Oryzias latipes: one gene and its partners. The protein of the gene in region 1 interacts with the protein of each later gene in a biochemical or structural test. Links are inferred from orthologs where the notes say so. Each region holds a gene or a part of one and is shown in the gene's direction. Other genes may lie near its edges. The genes, in order: pdgfrb, nck2 and ptpn6.

Evidence for each region.
Region 2: the proteins of pdgfrb (region 1) and nck2 form a complex in vitro, tested with the Homo sapiens proteins (2 studies listed by BioGRID). The link is inferred for Oryzias latipes from reciprocal best matches to the Homo sapiens genes PDGFRB and NCK2.
Region 3: the proteins of pdgfrb (region 1) and ptpn6 form a complex in vitro, tested with the Homo sapiens proteins (2 studies listed by BioGRID and IntAct, with this or other methods). The link is inferred for Oryzias latipes from reciprocal best matches to the Homo sapiens genes PDGFRB and PTPN6.

Annotation. Positions count from the first base shown.
Region 1 is NC_019868.2:16,274,513-16,278,161, forward strand, and holds part of pdgfrb (platelet-derived growth factor receptor beta), read left to right. Parts: intron 1-932; coding exon 933-1,037; intron 1,038-1,299; coding exon 1,300-1,410; intron 1,411-2,506; coding exon 2,507-2,663; intron 2,664-2,879; coding exon 2,880-3,046; intron 3,047-3,405; coding exon 3,406-3,518; intron 3,519-3,649. UniProt on the Homo sapiens protein: Tyrosine-protein kinase that acts as a cell-surface receptor for homodimeric PDGFB and PDGFD and for heterodimers formed by PDGFA and PDGFB, and plays an essential role in the regulation of embryonic development, cell proliferation, survival, differentiation, chemotaxis and migration.
Region 2 is NC_019879.2:10,283,198-10,287,539, forward strand, and holds the start of nck2 (cytoplasmic protein NCK2), read left to right. Parts: upstream 1-1,428; 5' UTR 1,429-1,699; intron 1,700-4,342. UniProt on the Homo sapiens protein: Adapter protein which associates with tyrosine-phosphorylated growth factor receptors or their cellular substrates. Maintains low levels of EIF2S1 phosphorylation by promoting its dephosphorylation by PP1.
Region 3 is NC_019874.2:20,377,609-20,381,763, reverse strand, and holds the start of ptpn6 (tyrosine-protein phosphatase non-receptor type 6), read left to right. Parts: upstream 1-1,305; 5' UTR 1,306-1,823; intron 1,824-2,135; 5' UTR 2,136-2,199; coding exon 2,200-2,207; intron 2,208-3,156; coding exon 3,157-3,279; intron 3,280-4,155. UniProt on the Homo sapiens protein: Tyrosine phosphatase enzyme that plays important roles in controlling immune signaling pathways and fundamental physiological processes such as hematopoiesis.

The DNA of each region.
Region 1 (3,649 bases):
TTTAAAATCTGTTTTTGATGTTTTAACACGTTCTTGTGGCTTTTTTTCTCATGATGGCGGTCACAAATAAAGAAAATTAAGCTTAAAATTACATTTCTGAGGTATTTCTGTAGTTAAATCATGAAGCCGGAGCAGACGCAAATACGCAGTTGGTAAAAAAGCTTATTTGTGATGTTGAAAATACACTTGGCGGGCCACAAGCTCCCTGCTTCGCCATGTTGAGGGGAAGGGGGGTTGGGGTTGCTTTGTGCCAACAGTCCTGTCTACAACTTCGAAGGAACTGTTGTGCTCTGCAGAAAATGACACAGATGTGTAGAAAATGACACAGATTTTTTTATTTTGGTCAAAAACAACATAATCATAATGAAAAGACCACTGGGAACGCTTTTACAAAAGATCAAAAGTTAATAAAAATGGGTCTTTAATGGCAAACTACAGAATATTCACCTTCAAAATAAAATTCCATGTTCACTTCAAGCTAACCTCAAAAGTTAGCTGTAAGGTCAGTGCATCATCAGACTACGCTTCTCAAAAGATGAACTACAAGTGGAGTAAAAAGAATTGGTTAAAGCTTCATTCTACAGCTGTGTGCCCAGGCCTTTGCTTGTTGTTCCTCAGAGGTGAACAAACAGAATCAGTCACAATTAAAGTGTTGTTTTCTGGGTCGTTTTGGTGCCATTGGTGACAACAACAAAAAAACCAAAAGTTTAAAGTTGTCTCACTGTTTTCCTCTCTAACCAGATGACATTTAATTCATGTCCTCATTAATAATGTCTGCCTTTATCGTTGGCTGGAAATAAGCTTCAAGCCTCACTTTGCTTTGGTCAACGGCAGAAATGACACAGATAAGCAAAAGAAGCGGCTTTCTTGTTTTGCCACTAATGTGCTCTTCGCTCTGGCTCCACCTCTCTGAGCTTTTCTTTGTCTCTCAGGTCGCACTCTTGGATCAGGAGCGTTTGGCAGGGTGGTCGAGGCAACCGCATACGGTCTCACGCACTCCCAGTCCAGCACAAAGGTGGCAGTGAAAATGCTGAAATGTAAGCATAAAAACGCAAGACAAGTCCATGTGCGTGATTTACGTGAACAACCAGAGACCCCTGCATGGCTGTCAAAAAAATCTTGACAGCGGGGTCGTATCCCTGCAACCTCAGGCAGAGCTGCGGCCCGCTGAGCTTTAGTTTGACTGCCAGGCCAATTCAAGCTGCTGACCACAGATCATTGAGCAATTTGGCAATAACAGTGTGTCCTGCTCTCACTTCTACTGTTCTCATTTCATCTACTATACCCTTCTTTGTGCAGCCACTGCTAGGAGGAGTGAGACTCAGGCTCTCATGTCAGAACTGAAGATCATGAGCCACCTTGGTCCTCATCTCAACATTGTCAACTTGCTCGGAGCTTGTACCAAACATGGTAAGAATCATAGCAAGCCCTATTTTTGCAATGAAATCACAGCCATTTAGAGATTTCTAGAAGAGTTTAATCATAGAAAAGTGTGTTTCTGAGTTAGTTCTTTAAGATAAGGCTATCATTTGATCTGTACAGAGGCTACACTGGGGAGGATTATATTCATGATAAGGAGCTTGAATCTTGTTTGCTAGAGCTGGATAATATCATAACCAACAGTTATGGGTTCTTGTGGAAGATAAAATTAATAATGTTTTAGTAACTAAAAACTGTCATGCTGAGGTTGTACACGCTGTGCTTTTCGCATTTATCAGCCGCATTACTTTCCTCGGGCTCCATTTTATTTTTAAGTAAATAGACACCCCTTCCCATTTTTTCTGTTCATGTTTAAGTTTGGGTTCCTCATTCTTTGAGAGGTTTGGACAGCCTCTCCTTTGTCCAAATACTTTAATATAGTATTGCCTCAATCTTTTACTGTTGAATTTTTAAGTTTTAAAACTTTTGGCGGCAGAAAATAATTCGAAAAACCCGTCAATAATAAATTGTAATTCAATAAGAGCTCTTGTATCTCATAAAATGGTGGAAATTTTGTTTTTGTTTAGAACAAATGTTTATTTTGTAACATATAGTATAACTGCTTTCTAATAGGGATTCCACAAACATACTATTTGATCATAACAAATGTATTTGATAAGCTACAAAATATTCACCAAAATAAAAGTCTAATTTGACCTCCGTTCTGTTTGCTGTTTGCTCCAAGTGCTACATGGTCCATCAACAGGCTGAAGATTTGTGGGTAAAATAAAAGCTAATCAATAAATAAAAATATTTATACTTCTGGCAAAAGATTATTTATTTTTACCGTTAATTAACAGTTAATGGTTGCTGTTAATTTACCCATTTTAATTGGAAATGACAAAAAGTTATAATACAATTAACTGCAGAGAAGAATCTCAGCTTTATTTTTATTTGAACAAAAAGTGACATGCCCAGAATTTTCCATGCAGTTTCATATTATGTCCTCATTATAAATAGCATTGCTAATAGGCAATTTTCTGCTCTTTTTCATAAATCTGTGTATGTTCTTTGTCACCACATGCAGGCCCTCTCTATCTGGTGACCGAGTACTGTCGCTATGGTGATTTGGTGGATTACCTGCACAGGAACAAACACACCTTCCTGCAGTACTACGCCGAGAAGAACCAGTACGACGACTGCCTCATTTCTAGAGGAAGCACCCCTCTCAGTCAGAGAAAAGGGTAAGGGGGGCAGAAAAACATATGAGATGTTTTATAAAACAGACTTTTTCCTTGGAATCCTGTCTCATTCCAAGAAACTGCTGCAGATGGATTTATGAAGTAGACAAATGGAGCCTGTTACAGATGTACAGATGTTTCACATGAGGAGGCACTACAATGCATATTTAGATATAGGTCAGTTAAGACTTTTTTTCCTTGCTTTTCTCTCGTCTTCAGCTATGTGTCCTTCGGCAGTGAGAGCGATGGAGGCTACATGGACATGAGCAAAGATGAGCCGTCAATCTACGTGCCCATGCAGGAGCAGATAGACACCATCAAATATGCTGACATCCAGCCTTCTCCATACGAGTCCCCCTACCAGCAGGACCTCTACCAAGATCAAGGTTTGCCCCGGCTGCTGTTAGATTTATGTCTGCTAAGTTAAGACAACTGTTGAATGTTGGTAAGAATCAATTTTCCATTTATGTAGGAGTGAATGAGGATGACAAACAAAGCATGACAAACACAGGAAACAAAGAAAATCAGAGAGATATGTGTGAAAAATAGGATGTGAGGCCACGTACTGCTGCTTTCAGAACTAGAAGTTCTAAACTCAGCTGTTTTTATGGATTAAACACGGATATGTGTGTTTTATTATGCTTTAGCAGAAAAATACAGAATTTTTCCTAGAATGTTGCAAGTTTTTTGGATGAAAAACGTATTCCTTCCTCACCTGTGTGTCTTTTCACCTCATTTTCTCCAGGAAGCACCAGCCTGGACTTAGTGATCAGTGATTGTGCCAGCCTCACCTATGAAGACCTTCTAGGTTTCAGCTATCAGGTGGCAAAGGGGATGGAGTTTCTCGCCTCCAAAAATGTAAGCTATCAAACAATCATCTTTCCGCTTCCGCCACCAACGTATCCCTTTATTTTGTTTTAAACCATTATTTTGAAAAAGTTAGTTTCAAACATGACTTGTATTTATTCGAGGAAAGAGGAAGAATAACT
Region 2 (4,342 bases), on another chromosome or scaffold:
ATAGCTTCATTTTAATTTTTTAAAGTATGTCTTTTAAACAAATTAAGATTTTTATTTCCTTTACAGTAGCAAGGAAATGCGATCTACATGAATAACAATGGACATGTGGCTTAATCGTCTCCTATTTCTCGCTATTATCGCCAAGGGGCGACATATTCCTCCACAATCTGTCCATTTCCCTCTGGCGTTGTCCTGTTCTCGTCCCGGGGTTAGTGACGTCACAACCAGGACCGGGGATCAAGCTGAACGTGAATATCAGAATCAAACCGGAAATTGAGGCGGAGTCCTAACAAATAAAAGCAGGCTCGATTTAACAAAAAGATTCTGAAAGTTAGCATGAAAAAAGGAAAATAACCAAACTAAGGTACGAGTAAACTATAAACAACATCAGTTCACCAACAGACATACATGTAATTTTACATGTAATTTATATGTAATTTTACATGTATTACATTTAGGCCTGCAGCCTTGCTTCAATGACCATTAGGTAAATACACTTCTGACCGTTAGCAGTTGGTAAATAAAAGATTTTTTTTTTACGTTTTGAATTGCATACTCATTTACCCACATCACAAAGGATAAAGTGTAACCATAGAGCAAAACAAAACAAAATACGATTTTAAATGGATAGGGATTGACCAAAAAAGTAACTTGTTGATCTTTCTATTTTATTTAATTCTTATGAAAATTTTTCTGGATTAAATATTTGTTGTTTGATGCCATCATATGGACTTCAAAAGAAAAGAAAATAGTAAACTACATGGAACTGCTGTTAGCGAAACTGCTGAAACATCTGCAAAATGATAAAAAACACCTACACTTCAAACACATATACCGTTAAACTGTGAAGAACCTCTTTTTAGATGTTCCTCACCCAGACAGATATTGGCAAATGAAAACACATTAATTTAAAAAAAGAATAGAAAGAATAAATGTTTCTGCTAATATTCCACATTCATTTGGTTTCAAAGTTTTCTCTTCCTAAACATTCGTATCATCTTTTCTTTACATTTTTGTATGCTGTTGCTAAGATTTTCATTTTTGACATTTAAAATAGGTCAAATAGACGACAAAACACCTGAAGAAGTACAAGTTGAATATGTCTAAAAATGTACTATTTCAAAAAAGAAAAAAGTTAATTATATATTAAATAAAGATAGTAGTGGTGAATAGACAATAAAGCAATAATAGTACAGTGTACATTTTTGTTTATCACAGGCATAAAAATGTGGAAAAATGCACACGTTTGTTATCATGAACAATATTTAACCATATTTAATTAAACTGTGTTTTCTGACTGCATTTAATATTTTTCAAATTTCTAATATGTAATTTTAATTTACTTGTTTTTGCAAAAATTGTACTTTTTAATTGAATTTGCCCTGTTCAAACCTAGCTTTATTTTGAAAAATCGGAACGGAAGTGAAGAAGTGTGTATCTCCTAGCTTGAAAGGAGGCTGATCGAGGCGGAGGCAGTCAGCCTGCGACGGAAAAACAAGCGACAACACGTCGAACAGTACAGGTTTAGTCAGTGTTTGAAGAAAGAAAATGAGATAAACCAGAGGAGATGAGGACTTAAACGAATTTTTTTGTCACTTTGACGAGGGTTTGGTCACTTATTATTGTTGGACCCGCGCGCGCTATCCCTGTGCTGTGACGCTTGTCTGCCCATTCTGACTGGAGTGAACACTAAGGTAAGGTAAGCCTGAAATACACAACTGTGTGAGTTGCTTCTGCTTACATTACTCTTTCCAGCTGCGCGTGCCGTAGATTGAAAGGGGTTTTATTGGTCTACAGAATTATGTGTGGAGGTTTTCCTCCGTAGTGGGAGTGGGAGGCTCGGAGTGTCACTTTCTCGCGTTGAGACGCTTGGTCTTTGTCCACTCTGACCACAGACTTGGCTCGAATCTCGCTCCAGTGTTCGCGAACCACTTTTTAAACCCCCACAATTGTATAAATTTGTTTAAATTCCCACACTTAAAATCATCAATTAAAATGTTCACTAACAACATTTGTACTTTTTCGGTTAGTAAATATTAGAGGGGCCTGACTCACAGACCATGGTCGGTGGTGGTGGATTCCAGGCTGTGGTCCGGCTTTGTTTAAAATAGTTTCTTTTAACTTCAGTTCTACAATTTCGTACTTTTTTGCGTGGAAAACAATTTCTGCCATCATAGGTGTTTGGTTGGTGTGGTTCGAGATCCTGCTGACAGCGCTACGGCTCACACAATGAAGCACACTTGCCAAAGAAGCAGCAGAAATCGGCCGGGCGCCTGGTGCCACATGCCGAGCTTGTCAGTGCTCCTAGCGGCCGTTGGTGGGAACTGCACCATGCTGTCGCCTCATCAGCCCCTGTGGATCAAAGGACGCCTTGTCTGTTCTCTCACTGACTTGATGCTGGATATTTTTGTACATTTTATTTTAGATTTAGAATTTGGGTTTTCAGATTTAAATCCAGGTGTTTAAAGGTGCTGAAAGTTCTTGCGTGGTTCAGGTAGACTTGTCACACCTACTGCAGACACACCCTGTGCAAAGCGCTCTCCCGGTCTACAGTCCGCACTGACAGGTATGAGGAAGGAGGCTGCAGGTCCTGTACTGCAGAAACTCCCGTTGCATCATTTCCTTGGAATTCGATACTTGGAGCAGAAATGTTGTTTTAGAGATGAATTTCCACCCCCCTCTATGTTTCTGACACCATTCTCCCTGTCAGCTATTAATAACTCACTCTGATGAAAACTGTGGAGTTTTTTTAATATGTTCTTGTTTTTTTTTTTCATGAGGGAGGACATACATGAAGAAAATTTAGATATAAAACTGCATTTATGAGTATTTCTTTATTCAGATCGTTGTGAATCAGGAGCCGATGAAAAATTACTGTCGGAAAAAGCTTGTTGCTTTGACGTAGGCGTTTACAACGGCAAGCCACAAACTCCCTGCTCTGCTCCATTCTGATGCCTCCACTAGTACACGACTGTGCATCTTCGTTGACCTCGTCTGAGGTGGAATCTGGCTCAGAACTGTACGGCTGGATAGCTGCAATATTGCCCGCCCTTTTTGTGAAACCCCTAACGTTAGGTTGGGATGTGTGAGGGGCTCTAAGCTAGCGGGAGTTAGTGTAAACAGATAGATGACGAGATGTGGGGGTGGGCTTTCTCTGTGTGCCCACACCTCAGAGGCAAATTTCTGATGAACTCCTGCCACTCTGCATAACTATGTCCTAGAAAACGACACAGATTTTTTGATTTTGGCTAAAAAGAGCATCATCACGCTTTTACAGTAGATCAAAAGATGATCAGAGTTTGACTTTAAGCTATGTTCTCATCGCCCTCGGCAACATGTTTTTCAAGCAGACACCTTCGATGAGAAGTCTATGTAAACACTGTTTTATGGGCTTTTTTGCTCAAAACTCTTGTGTTCATGCCTGGCTACGCAAGTTTTTATGACAATGAACACGCGTTGGAAGTTAAACCAGGTCGAACTTTGACCAATCAAGGACTTGGATTTTGGAGTGACATATATATGGTTTCCTTTGTAATTCACGAAAGTGCCAACGGTTTGAAAGTTGATCATGAAGGAGGAATTAATGATTGTGGTTTGTGCCCGGCTGGAATTCTGGCATCAAGTCTTTAATATATTGGAATATAGCTGTCAAAGAAAAGACAAAAAAATAAAACCTGGAGCAAGATTTACCAGATTTGACTTTTTGCACCAAACCTTTTCTAGTACATGGTAGAAAAAGAAAAAAAAAGGGTACTTTAACATGCATTAAATGCATGGTGTGTATTAGAGGTCCAACGGATCACGGATGACCCTTGATGACCCCCCCCCCCCCCATTTAAATCGATTGTCCGTTCAAACCAAAGACAATTTGTGCGTCAAATTCAATTAATTTGAGTTAAAATAACAAAAATGAGTTTTTTACAAATACATCATATTGTCAACAATCACGATTTTGAATATGTGATTTAGAAAAATGTAAACAATAATTACTGTATTCTACTATGGATGTATTGTGAAGCTTCTAGGAGTGTGAATTCTACATTTAGGTTTTAAATATTGTTTTCAGAATTGCCTATTTTTATTCATATATTAAATGGATCCGTTTTTTAGTTTTTAGTCGTTTCTTTTAAAACAAACCCGATCTTTCCTGTCATCTTCTTAACCGTTTATTCCCTTTCGGGGTCACGGGGTTGCCGGAGCCTATCCCGGCCACTTGGGCGTAGGCAGGGGATACCCTGGACTGGTCGCCAGTCTGTCACAGGGTAGAATATCCTCAATCACACATCCATTCACTCTCACACTCACACCTATCGACAATTTAGAGTTGCCAATCAACCTATGT
Region 3 (4,155 bases), on another chromosome or scaffold:
GTCTATCTTCAGTCGTCAACTTTCCAGACTGCTTTGTATTATAGGGCCCATGTTTCCAAAGATAGCTGTTTGTTTTTAGCACAGCTGCTACTTAGCTTGCCAGGAACTGGCACAATTCAAATTCAGTTCTCCATCAAGCAGCTGTTTATAGCAGCATTTTAAATATGATATTCAGACTTTTAAACATCAAAAGCAACAATAACATTTAAAGTAACAACAACCATTAAACCGACTTCAAAGCTACAATCCATCCATCAGTTCTCTGAACCTGCTGAATCCCTTTCAGGGTCATAGGGTTGTTGGAGCCTATCCCTGTTACTGTTGGATAAACCCTGGAGAAGCAGCCAATTTGTTGCAGGGCTTAAAGTAACTAAATATCTAAAATCAAAATAAAGGAGTTGTTTTTCCCTGAAGAAAAAACATGCACTCAATCAATTCTATTCCTACTGATTGGTTCATTTAATAAGATCAACAAACTATAGATGTTTCTCTGTTCACCTTTTTTATGAGGCAGAAAATGCTCAAAGTATCAGTTTGCAGCGCAGTGCAAGCAAACCTGATAGCCCAAGTGAAAAGATCAAATCAGGAACCTTTTTTCCATCACTGTAGGTGTACAGCCATTCTATACGTGTGTGAAAAACGTCTGCCTTTGTCTGAGATTTGAAGCCTTAACATCTGAGAAACAAAGAGACCCCAAACCAAGTCTGACTGCAAAGCGCAAGTGAGGCAAATAATGCAAACAACAATAGCGGGCGTTAACCCCGACGACACCTGCAGGGCTGCATGTGTGTGTTTGTTGGTGCAGGGGCGGGGAGAGCTGCACCATGTACTAGAAACTACACACTTATTCACTTTTTCCTTTAATTTTTTGCTGCAAACACATAAAACCACCAAAGTCCGCTAGTCACTGAACGATTTTACACCTCATGTAGGAAACCATTATTTTCCACTTACATGCTATCTGGTTGTGAGGAATTCATGAAATAATTGCTACTGTATTTGCATTTTCATTTGTTGTGCATTTGCTTCTACGCAAATTTTTGTGTTGTTTTTAGGGATACAAAAAACTCCCCTAAAAGTCACAATATGTACTTTGTGTTTGTGGCTGCAGATAATTTACTCCGTATAAGGATAAAGCAGCAATTTTCAAGGTGCTGGATCGGCGTTCTTTAAATTAAAACAGTTGACAACAGCACATGATATATCAGCTTGCAGCAGCACACGCACACATGCAGCCTCACACATGCAGAGGGGGGAAGGTTCAAATGAGGAAGTGTTCTGTTCTGACCTTTGTGTTTCGCACACTCGTACACACCTGGAAGTAAAGAACAGAGGGCAGATTCAGCCGACAGGTGGAGGAAACTTTGCAAATACTTTCTGTTAGACAAAGAGCGGGCATATTTGTGCATTGATGAGGAGATGGAACTGCCTTTTTGGAGGGTGTTTTTCAACCATACGCCTGTTGGAATTGCCGTTGTCTCACAGCTCTGAACAGAGGAGTCATCTAAAGAAGCTCTGCAGCTGTTTTTCCAGAAGACGGAGGTGATGGAGTTGAAGCCTTCTCTGCTCTTAGATTGGCAACGTTTTTATTTTGGTCATCAATAAAAGAAAAAGAAAAAAAAAAGACACCATCTTTATCTGCTTGAGGAATTCCGGCCTGTCAGCTATTTTGGTTCCTGTCTTGCTTTCACTACTTTGTGAAAGGAGACGTAGAAAGGAAGGAAGGGGAGAGCGTATGAGCACGACGCAGAGGAGGGGAGACAGACACATACAGCGTCAACGTCTCGACCAGTGTCAGTTGTTTTCAGGAGCAGCTGAGGAGAGTAAGTGTTTACCTGCTTTTGCTGTTGAAGGGAAGACTGAGAACCGGGGTCAGCGGCGGTCCGCTGGTGGGTGGTGGCGGGGCAGGGGTGGGTATTAAGTTAATGTGTTACACCAGAGGGAGAGCAAAGGCAATTAGATTTAATTGATTCTTGATAAAAATATCTTAAGTTGAAGGTCAAGTTAGCGCTTGACATACCAAATGTGTTTGCGGTAAATGTACAATTCAAGTAGACCAAAAGTAAGGAAGCTGCAAAAACTACACAAACTTTCAACGCCAAAGTGTGTGATCTGAGTCTACACATGTGCCGCAGGAACAAGCGACTCTTCCCAAATCGCTCTTCTTCTCTTTAGTCCCAGAAAAAGTGAGGAGACGCCATGGTTCGGTGAGTCAAGCCTCTGCCGGACACATCAAACTCTGGTTTTGTTCTTTGTGTTTTGTGCAACAACTTCTCTGTTTCCATTCCTCCTTTTGTCTATTCCCTGCTGCTGGCCTGTCCTGCTCCTCTTCTGTCATGTCATTTGTGATCCCTCGTCAGCTAAACCCTGCAAGTTCAGTATAAGAGACTGGGACATAAATAAAGTGTTTAGGTTTCAGTTCTGTTGTTTCCTCAAAGCTCCACAGTGTCAGACAGATCATGTGTTCGAAAACAGTTATTAACCTTTTTTGTGCAATATGTCAGATTTTAAAAACCTGGTTATTCGTCTAGCTAATAAGGCTGTAAAGCAACATAATTTATTAAAGTACGTCAGCATTACTGACTATGCCCTAATGCACGCTTTGTTTTCCTGATGATCAACAAATTGCATGTAGGTAAAGTGAAAATAGTTTCTGAAGGTTTATGTTAAACCCTTATTGGATCAAGGATTTGGACTGTGGTTCATCACATGAAATTGTCTTTTATCTTTCTTAGGCCAGTGAAACCAAAGGCTTTAATAAAACCTTTAATTTATCACGTTAAAGTCACCCTCTGCCTTAGTATTATTTATGTTTGAGACTCTAAAACAAAAAATATAAAAATGAATATGTTGATTTTGAGGATTTTTACAAAGAATCTACTCAAGATTGTAATGAAACCTAATAATGTTTAAAAGATCATCACCTGAATTTCTTCCCTTCTTTTATTAAAAAGTACAGCTTTTCTCTCCATCTTTACACTTTCTTGCACCCCTGATCTTGTCGAGAAACTCCCATCTCTCTTTTGCGTATGCGTGCACCTGGATTTTCTTGGTCTATTTAAAGCTGTACATTTTAAATCTATGTGACACATGTATGCCTTCTACTAGGTCAATGTTGTTGTGCTTCATCTTTTCTATCTTTGTGCGTCGATCCAGGTGGTTCCACAGAGACATCACAGGCCTGCAGGCTGAGGAAATACTGAAGCTGCGAGGCATTGACGGAAGCTTTTTAGCTCGACCCAGCAAGAAAAACGTTGGAGATTTCTCCCTGTCTGTCAGGTAATGTCTGGTGTGAACAGATGCAGCACATGAGCTGCATCTGCAAAACTTCTTTCAAGTTTTGCAGCCTTTATTTGATGATAAGAAAATAAGCTGAGAGCTGCAGGCTCCCGCCAGGGCCTATATTTTGATGCGAATGATCTACGCACACATGCCAGTTTTGTTGGAGGCCTTTTCTTAAAGTGAGTAAAAGTAGCAGCAATGGAAGCGATTCTTATAATTTATAAAACTTTGCGGATTGAAAAAAAAGGTTGTTACAGAACTCCAAAAGACGTGGTTGCATCTTCTTTGAACAACAGCAGAAAATTAGTCAGATTTGCTCATTTTAGATGTCTTATCTGTAACTTCTTACAGCAAAAGATCCCTTTCCAAGCTCCACTTTGTGAAAACAGTTAGCACTTTCCAATTTTGTGTGAAAAAGTGCACAGCTCTAAATGATCTACTTACTCCCAAGGCCACTTTCTTAGAAAAAAATGCATTTTGGTTAATTCTTATCCTTTCATTTGGATTAAAAAACAATAATTCTAACAGAAAAAACATGTTTTTATGTAAAAAAAAAAAAAAAAAAAAAAAAAAAGAGTCTGAAAGCTTGATCGACAGTTTGATGAACCAAAAATGTTATTTTTGTTTGTAAAATTGTCTATTAAATCTGATTTTTTATTTATTCCGATGCTAAAGCCGCATTTTTCTAATATTTCTCCTCCTTTGGCCGCCCAAGTTGAGCTTAAAAATATGGAAAATAAATTTGTTGTTACACATGCTGCCAAAAATCTTTTAATAGGATCGATTGACTTCGATATTTGATAAGCTCGCAGCTGTAGCCAGGCTGAAAAGGACCATCACGTTTATGTCGGTTTACTGAGTATAAAAGTCCTC